Macaca mulatta: one gene and its partners. The protein of the gene in region 3 purifies or fractionates together with the protein of the main gene of each other region. This does not show direct contact. Links are inferred from orthologs where the notes say so. Each region holds a gene or a part of one and is shown on either strand. Other genes may lie near its edges.

Region 1 (4,440 bases), on a different chromosome or scaffold from region 3:
ACGGCAGAAACAAAACTATCCGTGAAATTGTGAAGAAGGAGAATGAAAGGGATAGATGGTATATATAAGGTTTGGTGCTGTCTCCAGGTTCGGGCTTCAAGAGTTTTGCAATGTATCCACTACAGATAAGTTGGGGGGCTACTGTATCATCGAACACCCTTAAAAATCTGACTGTTTTGCAAAGAGTTTCCTGGGAATAACAGCATCCCTTAAATGTCCAGAAAATCACTGAAACTTCACCCCCAAATTCTTCTATTATTATTTAAGGCAATAATAACATTAGGAGTGTGTACATACCTTCCCTTGGATCCATAAATTACCAAATTTGAGGACCCCTGGCTAAGGGTACCTGGGGAGGAGTGGGGTGTACCCTTCATCATCCTCATCTGCCCCCTGGTGGCACATTTTGTCACTCTGGACTCCTGCCCTAGGCTGCCAACAGCCTATTTAAACGAAATATCCCTGATATTTAGTAGTTTGTATATTTCCAGAAAACTTTTCAACTACTGAGATTATCACTTCCTCTCACCATAAAGTTGTATAGCATTGTCCAATAATACTATTGTCGCCTGCTTTATCTGTTAATACTTGATTTGTCTCATACTTAAACTGATTTTTGTCACAAGTAGTTTCCCCAGAAATTTTGTTATTGTTTGCCTGTTTTTCCTATATGTCCAAATGTATCCATTTTTGATCTATTTATATACCCATTTTGTTATCTTCAGGTGCATTATTTGGTTTTCATTTTAAAAATTTCTTTCCTGTTCTGCAACTGAAAAACACTGAGAAACCTACTCTGTTCCCGCATCCGAGCCATTCCACAGGCAGTTTTCCCCATACGAAAAACTCTGTCTTCCGCTGATTTGTGGCATGTCTCAGTTCCGTGACTTCTTTTCCTCTCTCTCCCTACTTGCTGCTATCCCTTTTCTCCATGTGTCTCTAACATGCCTGTGTTCTTCAAGATCTAGTGCAACCACATTCCCTCCCACAACTCTATTTTTATGAGGAATAGCCAAGCAGGACTCCCAAGACATTATACAGGAGTGCCTACAGGGCTCTCTCCTTGGCAGTCCCACAGCACCGCAAATGCCCTGTGTCTGCCAATACTCATCAGCCTCTCTTCCCGTGTGCCTCTCCTGGGACCCTAAGAGAGGAACCGTCCTGCAACTTTCCACTTTCTCCAGACAGGGACTTGTGTGCCTTTTCCGTGTCTCTGACTCCTTTATTCGGTTATAATACAGGTATCTGTCTGCTATAACTCCTGAAACTCTCTTATGTAAATGCACTTTTCTCATTCTCCGCCTCACATCTTAGCCCAGACCACACCATCTCCCCCCGGTCTTGGATACCTTCCATGTTTCCAGTGGTCTGCTCCCACTCCACACTGCAGTACCGTGATTTTTCTAAAACATGGATCGGTTCCTGTCACTCCCCTGTGAAAACTCATCCATGTGGAGTCTGACTGGTCTGCATTTGGGGACTGGACAGAGTGAGAAGGGATCTTGTGTCAGCCAGGACTCCGGTAGACGCCCCTATGCAATATCCACTTGTGGTGGTCGGGGGCGGGGAAGGGGCGGGCTTGAGCCCCCTTCCCCCCTCCTCCTTACTGCGGAAAGCTGCGGAGCGAGCAGCACTCACTTCCTATTCAGCATTCAGCAGGGAGGGAGCCTCCGAACAGCCACGTAGGCATTCTCTTCTCTCTGGAGGAAAAGGCCCAGCAGCTGTCCGAGGAAAAGACCCACCAGCTGTCAGCAAAGGGACATGTCGCAGCTAAGTAAGAATCTGGGTGACTCGAGTCCTCCAGCGGAGGCCCCGAAGCCGCCTGTCTATAGCCGCCCTACGGTTCTGATGCGGGCCCCGCCCGCTTCCTCCCGGGCTCCGCCAGTCCCTTGGGATCCACCTCCAATTGACTTGCAGGCTTCATTGGCCGCTTGGCAGGCACCTCAGCCTGCCTGGGAGGCCCCACAGGGCCAGCTGCCCGCCCCGGTGGTTCCGATGACCCAGCCTCCTGCCCTGGGGGGCCCGATAGTCCCGGCTCCCCCGCTGGGGGGACCGATGGGTAAGCCTCCAACTCCCGGGGTCCTGATGGTGCATCCTCCGCCTCCGGGAGCCCCGATGGCCCAGCCTCCGACCCCGGGAGTCCTGATGGTGCATCCTTCAGCTCCCGGAGCTCCCATGGCCCATCCTCCTCCTCCGGGGACCCCAATGTCCCACCCTCCCCCTCCGGGGACCCCGATGGCCCATCCTCCCCCTCCGGGGACCCCGATGGCCCATCCTGCTCCTCCTGGGACCCCGATGGCCCATCCTCCTCCTCCTGGGACCCCGATGGTTCATCCTCCTCCTCCTGGGACCCCGATGGTTCATCCTCCCCCTCCGGGGACACCGATGGCTCATCCTCCCCCTCCGGGGACACCGATGGCCCAGCCTCCCCCTCCGGGGACACCGATGGCCCAGCCTCCAGCTCCGGGAGTCCTGATGGCCCAGCCTCTGACTCCGGGAGTCCTGATGGTCCAGCCTGCTGCTCCGGGAGCCCCGATGGTCCAGCCGCCTCCTGCAGCCGTGATGACCCAGCCTCCGCCTTCAGGAGCACCGATGGCCAAGCCTCCAGGTCCAGGAGTCCTGATGATTCATCCTCCAGGTGCGAGAGCTCCAATGACCCAGCCTCCAGCTTCAGGAGCACCGATGGCACAGCCAGCGGCCCCACCTGCACAGCCGATGGCCCCACCTGCACAGCCGATGGCTTCTTGGGCCCCGCAGGCTCAGCCTGTGATCCTGCAAATCCAGTCTCAAGTTATAAGGGCTCCTCCGCAGGTTCCCCAGGGCCCGCAGGCACCCCCAGCGCAGCTGGCCACACCCCCGGGCTGGCAGGCGACCTCGCCAGGATGGCAGGCCACGCCGCAAGGCTGGCAGGCCACTCCCTTGACCTGGCAGACCACGCAGGTCACCTGGCAGGCACCAGCCATTGCCTGGCAGGTGCCGCCGCCTGTGCGCCAGGGGCCCCCGCCCATCCGCCCTGGCCCACCACCCATCCGCCCTGGCCCACCACCAGTGCGCCAGGCCCCACCGGTGATCCGCCAGGCCCCACCGGTGATCCGCCAGGCTCCACCGGTGATCCGCCAGGCGCCACCGGTGATCCGTCAGGCCCCACCGGTCATCCGCCAGGCCCCACCTGTGCTCCGCCAGGCCCCACCTGTGCTCCGCCAGGCCCCACCTGTGATCCGCCAGGCTCCACCTGTGCTCCGCCAGGCCCCACCTGTGATCCGCCAGGCCCCGCCGCTGATCCGCCAGGCGCCGCCGCCCATCCGACCTGCCCCACAGGTCCTGGCCACCCAGCCACCTCTCTGGCAGGCCCTGCCACCCCCACCTCCACTGCGGCAGGCCCCGCAGGCTAGGCTGCCGGCCCCGCAGGTGCAGGCGGCGCCGCAGGTGCCTACGGCCCCACCTGCTACGCAGGTACCCGCGGCGCCGCTCGCTGGCCCGCAGGTGCCCCAGCCTGTGCTGCCGGCCCCGCTGTCTGCCCCACTGTCTGCCCCGCAGGCTGTGCACTGCCCATCCATCATCTGGCAGGCCCCCAAAGGTCAGCCCCCAGTGCCACATGAGATACCAACGTCAATGGAGTTCCAGGAGGTGCAGCAGACACAGGCTCTGGCCTGGCAGGCCCAGAAGGCCCCCACCCACTTCTGGCAGCCCTTGCCTGCCCAGGAGGCCCAGAGGCAGGCTCCCCCCATGGTTCAGCTGGAGCAGCCCTTTCAGGGAGCCCCGCCCTGCCAAAAAGCTGTGCAAATCCAGCTACCCCCCCAGCCGCCCCAGACCTCGGGTCCGCAAGCCGAGCTGCCCACACTGCAGCTCCAGCCCTCCTGGCAGACACCGCCTGCGGTCTTGCAGGCCCAGCCCGGACCCCCCTTAGCAGCGGCAAATTTTCCCCTGGGCTCCGCTAAATCATTGATGACTCCATCAGGAGAATCCAGGGCCTCTTCTATAGACCGCAGGGGCTCCTCTAAAGAGCGCAGGACCTCCTCAAAGGAGCGCAGGGCCCCTTCGAAAGACCGCATGATCTTTGCTGCCACCTTCTGTGCTCCCAAGGCAGTGTCAGCTGCCCGAGCACACTTGCCAGGCACCTGGAAAAACTTGCCTGCCACACCGGAGACCTTTGCTCCCTCCTCAAGTGTCTTCCCAGCTACCTCCCAGTTTCAGCCTGCCTCTCTGAATGCCTTTAAAGGCCCCTCTGCTGCCTCAGAGGCCCCAAAGTCACTGCCATATGCTCTGCAGGATCCCTTTGCCTGTGCAGAGGCCCTGCCTGCAGTTCCGTGGGCCCCACAGCCCAACATGAATGCCTCAAAGGCATCCCAGGCAGTGCCCACCCTCCTGATGGCTACAGCAGCTGCCCCCCAGGCAACTGCCACCACTCAAGAGGCCTCCAAGACCTCCGTGGAGATGCCA
Region 2 (2,778 bases), on a different chromosome or scaffold from region 3:
TATTAGAAGGGTATTCCACCACAGAGAGCCGGAGGTTTTCCAGATGTGTGTAAGAGAGCAGGTGCGCAAGGCAAGCAAATGAGCGCAAACAGTATTATGGAAAACATTTGAGAAGTTAGCTCCATGAGGACTGTGGGCTCCACAAGAGGACTCGACTGGGTAGCCTGGTCTGACACAGGAACGTGAAAGCAGAGTATTGCTTCAAAGCTGGAAACCTTCCATAGGAGCCTCACACTGTTGGAAGATGTACTGCTGCTGGTTAAGGTCAACCTGGGGTGCAATGCTGCTGTCTTCATCTTCGGTCCCGAAGTAATGCTCAATAAGATCAAAGGCCTTTTGGTAGATCTCCTGGTTTTCATGACTCTGTAAGAACTCAATTTTATCCAGACCTGAAATGGAGAATAAAGGAAAATCTATTGAAAACTTCAATAAATATTGGAAATTCCATAACTATATATTCCCAAACTATATTTTGTCATATATCTCTGTTCTTGATGTAAAGAAAGATTATTTGTATCTCATAGGTATTTTATAATAGCACAGAAATGACTGCTGGGATTACATCTGAAAGCTAATATTATAAACTGACATCTTAAATACATATGCAAGCAACATCCAGTCTGCAGAAGCAGCAATTTCCCTAACAGTCCTCTTTTCATCCAGTGCCTAGCAGCAGTATTGTTTTTATTGAACTCTATCTACGACCCAATTAATTCTTCGCCATAAACTTCTTCAACCAAAGCATCTTACCATAAGCTTCTTCAATCAAAGCACAGTAAGGGTTAATGCCAGTGCCATTCCTTTTGGCTTCCTGTTCTCCAAGCCTCAGGATATTTTCCAAGCCATTTAGGGCAACCTGTACAATCTTAGAGTCCATGACCGTGAGGAGATCACAGAGCGGCTTGATACAACCTAGTTCTACTAGGTACCTAAACACAAAGAATAATGTAGTCAAACAAAACTTTAAATTTTGTTAAACTTATGAAATTAGTGAACAAGTCATCCTCAACCTTACTGCAAAGACTTAAAAAAAAAAAAAAAAAAAAAGGCACTCTTTCAACCATACAAGCTATACCTTTTCACAAAAACAAAACACCCTCTAAATAAATTATCCCAAACCAGTTCTCTGGCACCTTTCTCCATTCTTTTCCCTTCACAATTTATGCATTCCAAAAACAGGAACACTCACCTATTAAAACTTTGAAATGAGTAACTCATCAAAATAGTATAATTTTGAGTAATTTCATCTTTGTTTCCATAGAAAGCCACACCTCTCAAAACATGACACTCTTGGTGCTAAAAGCCAGCACAAGCCTGATAGGCCAAATCTTTCAAACATGACTCGAATTTTAGTAAAGTAAGTTGTGGGAAGAATAAACAAACGTCAGAGGACTCTAGAGCTGGTATTTTTCCTTTAATTCAAGCAGAATGTATAATCATATGTAATCAAGATTAATCATACTTGAACTGCAGAGACATGATTACATTCACAGTAAATAGTCATGTCATTTTTTATCATTCTGGTTTCTCAAGTTGAGTACAGAGAGGCAGAGATAATGAATCCAGTTGCATTCTGTGGATGGGTAAGGTCATTATGAAACTTACTGCTAGTGCTAATCTATTTCTCTCTCGCATGCTGCTTTTTTGTGTGGGGGAGGAAGAATTCAAAAATATATAAAAATAAATCTCTAGCCAAACAAGAAAAAAAGGAGAAAAGACAAAATTACTAATATCATGAAAGAGAATCATCACTTGATCTCATGGATAGTAAAAGGATAATAAAGGAATACTACAAACAACTCTATGCTGACACATTTGATCATTCAGATAATAAAATGAACAATTTCTTGAAAGACACAAACCACCAAAACTCAATCATGGAGAAATGAATGATGTGAACAGGCTTACATGTATTAAATAAATTGAATCATTAATTAATAACTTCCCAGAATAGAAAACACCAGGATGAGAGTTTCACTGGTGAATTCTGGCAAATATTTAAAGACGAAACGATACTAGTATTCTACCATCTCTTCCAGAAAACAAACAGTGGGGATACTTCCTAACTCAATCTATGAGGCCACCACTTCCCCAATACCAAAATTAAATAAAGACATTATAAGAAAGGAAAATTACAGACTAATATGTCTCATGAACATGAATGCAAAAATCCTCAACAAAACATTATCAAATCAAATCCAAGAATGTGTATGAAGAATTATATACCAAGTGGATTTATTCCAAATATGCCAGGCTGATCTGTCATTTTAAAAAAATGAATCAATGTAATCAACTTATGATCACTTCAACAGATGCAAAAAAGCATTTAACAAAATCCAATGCCCATTCATGATAAAAACGCAGCAAACAGGCCAGGCGTGGTGGCTCACGCCTGTAATCCCAACTCTTCGGGAGGCAGACGCAGGTGGATCACCTGAGGTCAGGAGTTCAAGACTAGTCTAGTCCACATGATGAAACCCCATCTCTACTAAAAACACAAAAACCAGCCAGACATGGTGGCGGGCACCTGTATTCCCAGCTACTTGGGAGGCTGAGGCAGAATCGCTTGAACCCAGGAGGCAGAGGATGCAGTGAGCTGAGATCGTACCACTGCACTCCAGCCTGGGCGACAAAAGCAAAATTCAGTCTCAATAAATAAACAAACAAGCAAACAACCCAGCAAACAAAGAGACAGAACTTCCTTAAGAGATTCTTTGATAGAATCTCAACAAAGAACATACAGTTAACATTATACTTAATGATGAGAAAGACTGGTAA
Region 3 (3,594 bases):
AAAAGAATTTACTCGTGCCCGGCACGGTGGCTCATGCCTGTAATCCCAGCATTTTGGGAGGCCCAGGTGGGAGGATCACCTGAGGTGGTCGGAAGTTTGAGACCAGCCTGACCAATATGGAGAAACCCTGTCTCTACTAAAAATACAAAATTAGCTGAGTGTGGTGGCGCTTGCCTGTAATCCCAGCTACTTGGGAGGCTGAGGCGGGAGAATCACTTGAACCTGGGAGGCAGAGGTTGCGGTGAGCCGAGATGGCGCCATTGCACTCCAACCTGGGGAACAAGAGCGAAACTCCATCTCAAAAAAAAAAATTTACTCATGTTTTTTAAATTTAGGGCTGAAAGAATCAGGATTCCTGAACCTTGGATCACGCCTCCAGACTTGCAAGAGAAAATCCACATTTTTGCCCAAAAATGTCTATTCTTGACGGAGAGTCTAAAGCAGTTCACAGGTAATGTGAGGAGTGGTGTCATGAGGGGAAATGGATTTATACTCAATATCTGCATATTGCCTGATGAAAGGATATATTTTCCAGCCAGATAGTGGGATGCAAACTGAATATTTTCTTGTTTTCTTTTCTTAGAAAAAATGCAGTCAGATATGGAGAAAATCCAAGGTAAATTTATCTACCTACTGGGCTTTTGATGTAAAGTTGCTTGGAAAAAAGAACATCTGCACTGAAAGTGGGAAACATGGGGTGATACCCATTGGCCAGCCTTCCCTTATATTTTACATCTTCCCTTGGTCTTAACTAATTTTCTCAACTAACAGCCTCTTGCTCTAATTTGAAGTCTGTTAACTGTATTTAGTCAATTCTCAATCTGCATTGATGGAGGAGAAAAATAAGCAATCCAAAAATTAATCCAGAATTAATTTGATTATTTCGGAAAGAGTATGAACAAAAACTACCTTGGATACATTTCACTTGAGCTAGTGTTTATCATTGTAATTACTGAGTTCCTACTGCTTGTGGGTACAGGTGCCAGCTCGGGCAGGAGGTAATTAGGCAGCGCTGACAGGCAGCACTGCCAGGGACATGGTTAGAAGCGGGCAGTCAGGAGTCAGGCCACTTGGGTTCTGGGCCTGGCTCTACCACTTAGTAAGGATTCAACAAGTAATTTCCTTATCTGTAACAGAACAGTAATAGTTCTTACCTCCTAAGGTATAAGAATTAAGGTTAGTTATCATTTCTAACACTTCTAGAATAGAACCTGACACAGTAAGTCCTATATTTACGTTTATTAAATAAAAGTGTTCTAGGCATTTGGAGAAGCTTTTCCAAATTTAAATTTTCCTGCTCACAAGCCACATTCAGTAAAGAGTTGGCCATATATTATTCCACCCAGGAATACTTAAATTCCTGGGCAGTCTGGTGGATTCTGAAATCCTTATATGTAGGTAAACCCTTCTCTTAATTATTAGAAATTACAAACACCCATAATCTTTGATTTTTTTCTATTTTATATATGCTGAGTTCTTATTTGCATTGCATCTACTCAGATATATACTTTTTGGGGCATCTAGCAACATAGAGTTAGCAGATACATGTCCTCTACAAATGGGGAGAAACTCCACTTAATACAGTGGGTAATAACCAGAAGTGGTTAGTTCAGGCACGACCTTGATCTGGCTCTTCTTTTCTTGCCACTTAAAAGGCTTAGTGGGATAATGTGTGAAAAATTCTGTTTCAACTCTAAAGTGCCTTATAAATGAATGGTCATGTTTACCCCAGAGTGTCAGTGAGTGCCATTTGAGCCATTCAGCTGTCGTACCCAGATGACTTATGAAACTCAAAAGTTATGTATGACGTGGGGTTGGAACTGCGTTTCCCTCTGCAGAGCCAGCTGACTCACTAGAAGGTGGAATTCTTGATCTTGGCTCAGTTTGATCCCATATTCTACCAGTCTCAGGCATGTGGTTATCCCTCTACTTAAGATTCCCAATCCCTCTCCCCTTAAAGCTTTTGGTTGGATGATAGAGCCATACATCATATGAAAAAATTAGTGCATGACTGACAGCAGAGGTTCTGGGGTTTCTAATGGAGACCACTGCTTTATGATGACTAACCAAAGCCCCCTCAGTTATGTATTTCCTGGAAACCCTCATGACTTCTATAACTTTTCTCTTTTGTTCTTTCAGAATTAAGAGAGGCTCAGTTATACTCAGGTAGGTGATGAGAGACAAAACCACATTAGGTTAAGGAGTAACAATCTTTGTGAACGTAACTACTATCATGAATGATTTGGAGATTGCTTAGATTTGGATTCTTTAGGTTACATGTATAAAGATGATACACAACAACCACAAAAATCCACAGTTGTTTCTATGTGTTAACAGTATCTTTGCCTCCTGAAATGCCTCAGAGTTGAAGCCATAGGGTAAAATCAATCTCAGGTGTTAAAGAAGGATTATAGGGTGGAAACCGCAGTTCCCCAAAAGTAGAACAGAGCTGGTACACTAGTACACTGCTGTGCCTGCCCAGCTTCAGGGTTAAACCATGGTTTGTGACGAGCAAGACTGATTGAGCTCCACTATTACTCTTGAGTGTTAGAGGAAGTCTAGGAGTCTTGTGTCATCCCATCGCTGTGCCTCAGGGCGAAGTTCGAAACTCCCCTTCCCCTTCACAACCACTTTCACCCTACTGTAGAGCCTGGGTAAATTTAACATTGCAGAAGTCCTCAAATCCAAGGTGTATTCATCCCGCAGTCACAGTCACCTTCTGTTATGAAGTGTCCTCTAAATGAAGAGAAGGACTCGACATACAGTGGATCTGCAGTCCTGGGTGTGCGCTGGCTCTGATCCATATTTATTTCAACAAGTATTAACTGAGTACTTCGCTTGTATCCTACACTGCCTAACATTGTACAGGGTATTTTAGAGGAACAGAAGGGCATAAATCATCCTACTCATGGGGTTTACATTGTCTGGTTGGAGATACACCCATGACACAAGAAGGAGGTAGGCACGTGTTGTAGACAGATTGTTGAACCGGGAACCAAGGGTTCTGGGGTTCTTGGTTATCTCTACCAGTTGCCTGTCTTTTGTGGGAGTCAAAATTTGTGGGCTTAAATTTCTAAGAGGTAATGTTTGGGAATCTTCCTCCTGAACAAGATGTGAAGAGCAAATGAGAGAATACGTATCACTGTTTTTTAAATTAATTTATTTTTTGAGTATTTTACTTTTTAAAATTTTTTATTATTCATTTTAGAGGCAGGTTCTCTGTTGCCCAGGCTGGTGTGTAGTGGCGTGATCATAGCTTGCTACAGGCTCGAACTCCTGGGCTCAAGTGATCCTCCTGCCTCAGCCTCCTGAGTAGCTGGAATTACAGGCACACACCACCGTGCTTGCCTAAATTTTTACTTTTATGTTTTGTAGAGACAGGGTCTCACTATGTTGCCCAGGCTAGTCTCAAACTCCTGTATGCAAGCGATCCTCTTGCCTTAGCTTCCCAAAGTGCTGAGATTAACAGGCATGAGTCACACACCCAGCCCATTATCAGTGTTTTTGAAGCAGGAAAACACTTGATGATAGCAAGATGCTGTAATACTAAATGCCAGAGGAGATGACATGGATCATACATAGTTTCAGATTTCA

What was found.
Region 1: the proteins of TRIM27 (region 3) and MAGEL2 purify together in Homo sapiens (affinity purification with western blotting; 3 studies listed by BioGRID and IntAct, with this or other methods). This does not show direct contact. The link is inferred for Macaca mulatta from reciprocal best matches to the Homo sapiens genes TRIM27 and MAGEL2.
Region 2: the proteins of TRIM27 (region 3) and KPNA1 purify together in Homo sapiens (co-immunoprecipitation; 3 studies listed by BioGRID and IntAct, with this or other methods). This does not show direct contact. The link is inferred for Macaca mulatta from reciprocal best matches to the Homo sapiens genes TRIM27 and KPNA1.

What each region holds. Positions count from the first base shown.
Region 1 is NC_133412.1:6,302,470-6,306,909, forward strand, and holds the start of MAGEL2 (MAGE-like protein 2), read left to right. Parts: upstream 1-1,636; 5' UTR 1,637-1,761; coding exon 1,762-4,440. UniProt on the Homo sapiens protein: Probably enhances ubiquitin ligase activity of RING-type zinc finger-containing E3 ubiquitin-protein ligases, possibly through recruitment and/or stabilization of the Ubl-conjugating enzyme (E2) at the E3:substrate complex.
Region 2 is NC_133407.1:161,339,444-161,342,221, reverse strand, and holds part of KPNA1 (importin subunit alpha-5), read right to left. Parts: intron 930-2,778; coding exon 751-929; intron 390-750; coding exon 202-389; 3' UTR 1-201. UniProt on the Homo sapiens protein: Functions in nuclear protein import as an adapter protein for nuclear receptor KPNB1. Binds specifically and directly to substrates containing either a simple or bipartite NLS motif.
Region 3 is NC_133409.1:154,433,634-154,437,227, forward strand, and holds part of TRIM27 (zinc finger protein RFP), read left to right. Parts: intron 1-335; coding exon 336-451; intron 452-583; coding exon 584-616; intron 617-2,139; coding exon 2,140-2,166; intron 2,167-3,594. UniProt on the Homo sapiens protein: E3 ubiquitin-protein ligase that mediates ubiquitination of various substrates and thereby plays a role in diffent processes including proliferation, innate immunity, apoptosis, immune response or autophagy.